Linked DNA regions of Schizosaccharomyces pombe. The gene in region 1 interacts genetically with each later gene. Each region holds a gene or a part of one and is shown in the gene's direction. Other genes may lie near its edges.

The links.
Region 2: mutations in plb1 (region 1) and amt1 together harm fitness more than expected from each alone (negative genetic interaction), as found in Schizosaccharomyces pombe (one large-scale study listed by BioGRID).

What each region holds. Positions count from the first base shown.
Region 1 is NC_003424.3:1,075,077-1,078,852, reverse strand, and holds the start of plb1 (lysophospholipase 1), read left to right. Parts: upstream 1-2,159; 5' UTR 2,160-2,234; coding exon 2,235-3,776. UniProt on the Schizosaccharomyces pombe protein: Catalyzes the release of fatty acids from lysophospholipids. Required for survival under high osmolarity, for normal osmotic stress-induced gene expression, and for nutrient-mediated repression of sexual differentiation.
Region 2 is NC_003421.2:2,066,979-2,070,723, forward strand, and holds the start of amt1 (plasma membrane ammonium transmembrane transporter Amt1), read left to right. Parts: upstream 1-2,000; 5' UTR 2,001-2,827; coding exon 2,828-3,745. UniProt on the Schizosaccharomyces pombe protein: Transporter for ammonium to use as a nitrogen source. Under ammonium limitation acts as an ammonium sensor, generating a signal that leads to pseudohyphal growth.

The sequences.
Region 1 (3,776 bases):
TGTTTACTAGTGCTCCTAACCAGCTCGCTTTTCCTAAGCTTGTAAATAAAACAAAGTACACTGAATGTCCATTACTCAAGGCAATTGCCAAAAAAAAAGGGCATTAGCAAAAGCGAAAATAAACTTGCCCCACAATTTTGTTCAGGTATAGTCCTAGAACACTGTTCCACACCGGTTTCCTCGCATACACGTCTTCGTTGACTTTCGCTCGCATGCTGCAAATCCTTTTTTGACAAATAGCGTGCAGCATAGCTAGTCCAACGTACGCACGTTAGTTTACGAGCCTAAATGTACTCCACGTCATGGAGGGAAAGGTAACTTGGAAGGTTAGCCCCACACTTTCCTTAACCCCATTATCTCCATTTTTCAATGATGTCAACGTAAAAGGTGGAAGCTCGCTTGTTCCGAATGACGGCGAATAGAAACGTAGAATTTTTCAAACCGTAATTTGATTGGCGGAAGGTTTGGTTTTCATGAATGTTCTCCACACTATGGGAAAACGAGGGGAGCAAAGTGAACAAAATACTGAGAGGTGATTGGATATGTCCCACTTTTTCATGTGATGCTCCTCATTTAACTAATAATTGGTGCGAAAATTTTCTTGCTCTTGCGGTAGACATTTTTGCACTGCGCATGTGTTCCTCCATTGTTCTAGACTGCGTTCCTCTACACCACCCCGCATTTGTTCGTCCGACTTTAGGCTCTTTTCCTTCTTCCCCGCCAAACTTTTGAGCGGATACTTGCCTGATTTCTTACCGGAATGGTGAGGGGCGAACACCTTTAGAATAGTGTTTCAAACACTTTTTTTTGGGTTTTGGCGGGGTTAAACTGACGAACAACGAAGAAAAAACAAGAATTCTAACAATTTACAACAGAATCCGTAAAAAAATTAGAAGCTTGTCTGACCAGCGGTAGTATAGAAGGGTTTAAACGGTGAGTAGAGTGTTTGTATTTTTCCCCAGTGTACCTTTTGCCAGTAGACAAACATCCCATCCTTTCTTGTGGGCAGCGTTATTTTGATGATAACTCTATCCCACTATTACTCCAGTTGCTTGGATACATCGTCGCAGCTCTGGACCAATGTTGCAGTTGCTTCCTAATTTTTAGAGGGTCAGTTGCCGGTACTCACGGGGCCCCAGACATGGATTCTGTCAAGATTGTGGGGTAGATGCAAGTTGAAGTCAAAAAAATGAGAATCAAAAACTTGAAAATAAAATACATAAAATGATTTATTTTATTTTTCTTTGTATAATCCATGTAAAATTATAGACTGTATGCACTGAAACCTTGTTCCGAGCGACTGGTCCCAGGTATATAAGTGGTGCTGGTGCACAGGCATTTTCACCACCATCGCAATCAAACAACTTTCCTTGATCTGTTCATTGTTTCAAAACAAAAAATTCCGTTTTTTGGAATCCCTAATCATCTTCCTTACTTTTATTTAAATCTTAATCCATCCAAGCGAGGAATTTTGCATTTTCCTTTCTTGTGATTGCTCCCTTTTTCTTAGCTCTTTGAAAAATACCCCAAAAAAGAAAACACTAACACTCTTTCGGTTAGAGAGCGTTTTCGCATTAGTTGAATCCAAAAACATATTTTACGATCCAACACTGTGATTTGGCTTAATTTCTTTTTTCAGTGATTCCCTCATTCCTTCATCATAATTTCTCGTATCATCATCACACTTTTCTTTCCTAGTGTATCCTTTGGTGCGATTTCCGGTTTTCTCGTCGTTATTCCTTTTTAATTTTCTCTTTCTTATTACTCACTCAAACAAAAAAAGGTCGTCGTGGACTTTTTAAATCGTTGTACTTTTAGCACTTTCCTACATCTTCCTTTTGAATATTTATTATTTATCCTTTAGGGAAAAGATTTTATTCATTTTGAACCTTTGCATTAAACTTCGTTTGCCAGGTTCTTTCATTTTGTTTTTAGTCCCGTTTTCCTGCCTTCTTTAGTTCTATCTATTGTGGGGTTTGTGTTTTCGTCCACTATTTGCAAATTCTAGGTTTTTGTTACTTTACCACTTTTTCCTCTCCGACTTACGGAATAGTATCAGTCCGAGATCTTGATTGGGTGTCATTCGGAAAGTAATACACTCGTGTGACGTTTATTAAATTTTTTTTCTTATATACCCTTTCCGTCCCACTCCCAACTTTGAACGTTCATTTGGGGATTTAATTTGCATACATCTTTGCATATCTATTCTCAACATTTTAGTTTAAATATTCAAAATGCTTTTCCGCGGATTAAGCCTGTGGATGCTCTTTTTGGCATCCTGCCTTTCTGCCCTTGCTCTTCCCGCTGCTGAAGACGATGGTTCTGTCAAGGTCTTCAAGCGTGCCAAGAAGCATAGCACTAAGCAAGAGGGACCCAGTTACGCTCCTTATTATGTGGACTGTCCCTCTGATAACATTGTCGAGAGTCTCTCCAGCAATGAGATTCCTAGCGCCGAGTCTGAATACTTGAGCACTCGTTCTACTATTACCAACACTGCCATGAAGGACTTCCTTCGTAACGCCAACTTGCCTGGTTTGAATGCCGATACTCTTTCTGGCTCTGAAGGTCCTTCTATCGGTATTGCCTTGTCCGGTGGTGGTTTACGTGCCATGATTTTGGGTTCTGGTGCCCTCTCTGCCATGGATGCTCGTCACGACAACCACACTGTTTTGACTGGTCTCCTTCAAGCCTCTGACTATCTCGTTGGTACTGATGGTAGTGCCTGGACTGTTGGTGGCATTGCTCTCAACAATTTCAGTACCATTAACGACTTTAGCAAACTTTGGGCTTTCAACCACCCTTTGATGTATCCCAAGAGTGCTATTGTTTTCAACGCTCATTTCTACAGTTCTATTATGAATGAAGTTGCCGAAAAGGCCAATGCTGGCTTTAACATCAGTCTTTCCGATTACTGGGGACGTGTGATTTCTCGTACCCTTGGTGACACTACTTATGGTTTCCCTAATGTCTCTTTGTCTAGTATTACTTCCCAAGAATGGTACCGCAATGCCAACTTCCCTTACCCCATCATTACCTTTGCTACCCAAAACTATGGTGAGGATATTAGCAATGTTAACACTACTTTCTTTGAAGCTTCCCCCAACGTTTTCGGTACCTTTGACCATGGAATCAACTCCTTTATTCCTACCGAATACTTGGGTACTACCTTAAACAATGGTGCTAGCAGCAATGGTTCTTGCGTTATCAACTATGACAACTTTGGTTTCATGATGGGTGCTTCTTCTACTTACTTCAACAAGATAATGCGTAACTTCAATGACTCTTCTACCAAGAACGGTCGTATCATCCAACAATACTTGAAAGGTAACTTTTCTGAAAACGGTCAACAAATCATCTCCATTCCCAACCCCTTCCAAGGTGTTGAGAGTGCTAATTCTGATGCTGCCAACAACTTGGGTTCCAGCTCTTCCCTTAACTTAGTTGATACCTTCCTTACTGGTGAGAAGATTCCTTTGTGGCCTTTGTTGCAAAAGGGTCGTGATGTCGATGTTATCGTTGCCGTTGACAATGGTGATGACAGTGAATGGCTCTGGCCCAACGGTAACTCTCTTGTCCAAACTTATGAGCGTGTCGTTGCTGCCCAAGCTGCCGGAAACACCAATGTTAAGGGTTTCCCCTACGTTCCTAGCCAACAATCCTTTGTCAGTCTTCACTTCAACGATCGCCCTGTCTTCTTTGGTTGTGATGGTCGTAACACCACTGCTGGTAACCACACTGTTACCCGTGACACTCCTCCTTTGGTTATCTATCTTCCC
Region 2 (3,745 bases), on another chromosome or scaffold:
GGAAAATGGAATGAATAAATAAATAGAATTGACGACAATTTTAGTAGTGAAAGCGGTTAGAAGGGAGGAAAAGGATTAGAAAGAAAAAGTAGAAAGCGTATTATGAAGTATTATTTTGAAGATTGAAGAATGCATTTTCTAAGTTGCTTGAGTTTACTTTATTAGGGATTGTATTGCACTTGCACTTGGGATCAGGAGTAGGATTGGCATTAGGATTAGAATAGGATTTGGGATTCCTCTTTGATCAAAAATAAATAAAAAATAAAAAATTAGAAAACTTCTAGTGCTCTCGCCAGAACTAGAACTTTTTCATGCAACGGAACGAGATGAACGGAGAAATGCGGAACCAAGATGAAGCAAGACAACAAGTCGATTAACAATGAAAGAAAAAAATATCAATATAGTCGGAAAACAAAAAGATGATTGATTAATAAGGAAAGTATGAGAAGGAGGCGGTAATTTTGCAAGCGTTTCAATTGCAATGATATTACAAATTCAAAGTAATAAAATGATAAACATACATAAACAAAAATAAACATAAATTAAAAAATAAAAAAATAAAAAATCGAAAACCAAAAAAAAAAAAATTTATTAAAAAAAAAAAAAAAAGACAAGAACAAACAAACAAGCAGATAGGGAAGTGGAAAATTACAAATAAAATTTAAAAAAACAGGGGAAGAAAAGTCAAATCAAGGTAGAGATGAATGATTCATCATGTTAGCGTTTGACAAATTAAAGATCAAAGAATTTATTAGAGATGATAAACAAGGGCAGAGCTGATTAGATGAAAGAACGATGGAGAGAAAAGAGAGAGGAGAGAAGATTAAAGAGAGAGAAAAGAAAAAAAAAAGAAAGAAATTAAAAAAAAAAAAAAAAAAAAAAAAAAAAAAAGGAAAATTAAATGAATATCCTCTTTTTTGCATGTCTCTTTCTCTTCTCTCTCTCTTCCTTCTTTTCTCCCTCCTTCTCTCTCTCCCTGCCTTCCTTTCACATACGAATATTAAACTACTTCCATGTATCCGAACGGGATCGTCGCAGGACACTATGGATAGGCCGGACGAAACAAAAGAAAAGGAAAAAGAAGAAAAACAACCGTCATAACAAGGATGAGGAGCCGATCGAACGACAAAACATTATCAAAGCGATTCCAGAGATTCCTTTAATAGCAATTTATCAACTAGCACAAATCATAGTTGCACATAACATATATCAACTAAGCACACAACATATTCCATACTAGCTAGCATATCATATATTATACTACCACATACCCTACCCTACCCTACCCTACCTCCTGCGAAACCAAGCCATATCAATAATGCCTTTTGCCTTTGACTTTGAAACGTCAAAAACAATGGAAAATTGAAATTTTTTTTTTCTGTTTTTTTGAATGAATGAATGAATAAACTGTTGAAGTATATTTTCATAGCATCTCTTTTTTTATTTTTTATTTTTTTTATTTTTCATCTTTCTATTTCCATTTCCATTTCTATTTCTACTTCTACTTGTTTTCTTCTTTCTCTCCTTTCTACTGTCTTTTTTCTCTCTCTTTAATCTTCTCTCCTCTCTCTCTACTTTTGTCTTTGTCATTGTCATTGCCTTGTTGCTCGCCCGCCGAAACAGCTCTTGTCACCTTTACACCACCCTTACATCGTTACCCATTCTAAACTCTGTTCGGTTGATTTCGGTTACAGAGTCGTCCGATTGGTTAAGGAATTTGTTCTTTTATCGTTAAATACCCTTATCTCGTTACCTATTGCCCACTAAAGCTTTAAGTTAATCTCTTTACATAATCATTGCTCGCCTTTGGTCCAATCATTGCGTCGGATATAGATCTCTGCTTATCTCGATCGTTACTTTGAACCAATCATTAAAAATATTGCTGTCCAATTGCGTCCTTGCATTTTTGCCGTTATCAAACTTGATAACCACCAGATTTTAGGGATGCTTAGAATCTGCGCGCATATAAAACCGCCGACTCTCTCCCCTACCGTACGGTTGAGACGCGGATAACCAACGTTGGCCTATTTCACCCTGCACCTTAAATCTAACGATATTCCAACCTTAGAGCATATCTTGACGCCTGACTTGCAGTGCATCTCTTTAACTTGAATTTTACGCATTTCTTGCTCTTGTGCGTGCATATTTGCTAGCTAGGTAGTTTACAAATTCAAATTTCTCTATATTTGTTTTTGTTTTATTCTTTCATTCATACTTCCAGTCTGTTGGATTCGCTGGTTCAATTTTTGTTCTCGTTGTTGATACGTGCATTTACATTTACATCTGCTTCTGCTTTAGCGTGCATTTGTTTATTTTATCGTCATCGGTTTTTGGGTGGTTGATACAGTTTTCTTTTTTTTGTTTTGTAATAGAAGAAAGAAAAAAATTTGAAAAACAAAAATAATTCAAAGTTCAAAGGAAAAGAAGAATAATTTAATTCCTTTTTTTTTTCTCTTTATTAATTTTACTTATTTTCTCGAAATTTGATTTTTCTTCTTTTCGAGTGTTTTTCTTCTTCTTTTCTCCCCAATATTCAAATATCGATCCCCTAATTTCTTCTTGGTCGTTCGATATATATATAATTTGTTGTGTTTTCTTTTTATCGTTTGGGTCCTTGATTTCCTAGGTGTTTTTTTTTTTTTGTCTCTATAGAAAAATTCCTTCCATTTATACATACCTTATTAGTCTCGATACTATTTTATTTTACTTTTACTTTTCTTCTTTTCGCCAACAAACCTCTTTTGTTTGTAATTTTTTTAATCCCCTTTATTTTGGGTTGTGTTGGTCTCTCTTCATTTCTTAATAGATAGACAAGACTTCTTGAATCATGTCTTCCACTACCGATGCCACTCCCACCCCTTCGGGTGTCAATGGCGGTGATTCCATGACCGTCAATCTTAATCAATTTTACAATAATGGTGATGTTGCCTGGATTCTCACAAGTACCGCTTTGGTGTTTATCATGATTCCCGGTGTCGGTTTCTTTTACTCCGGCTTGGCTCGTCGTAGAAGTGCCATTTCTATGCTGTTTTTGTCAATGATGTCTGTCGCCATTGTTGCCTTTCAGTGGTTCTTTTGGGGTTATTCGCTTACTTTCTCTCACGAGGGTGGTCCATACATCGGATCCCTCGCCAATTTCGGTCTTCGCCAAACGTTGGGTAGACCTTCTTCCGGTGCTTCCAGTGTACCCGACATCTTGTTTTGCGTGTTCCAAGGTATGTTTGCCGCCATTACTCCCGCTTTGGCTATCGGTGCTGCCGCTGATCGCGGTCGCATGTTTCCCTGTATGGTCTTCATGTTTCTCTGGACTTCCATCGTCTACGACCCAATCGCCTTTTGGACTTGGAATCCTAATGGTTGGTTGAACAAGTTGGGCTCTTACGATTTCGCTGGTGGCTCTCCCGTTCACATCTCCTCCGGTATGGCTGCTTTGGCTTATTCCATCGTAATTGGAAAGCGTTGTGACCATGGTACTACCAAATATCGCCCACACAACGTTCCCCACGTCGTTCTTGGCACCGTATTTTTGTGGTTTGGTTGGTTCGGCTTTAACGGTGGTTCTTCCGCTGCTGCCAACATGCGTGGTGTCATGGCTGTCGTCGTTACACATCTTGCTGCTTCTGTTGGTGGTATTGTTTGGTGTGTTATCGATTTTGCCAAGAACCGTCACTGGTCTGTCGTCGGCTTCTGTGAAGGTGCCGTCGCTGGTTTGGTCGCCATTACTCCTGGCTCCGGTTTCGTTCCT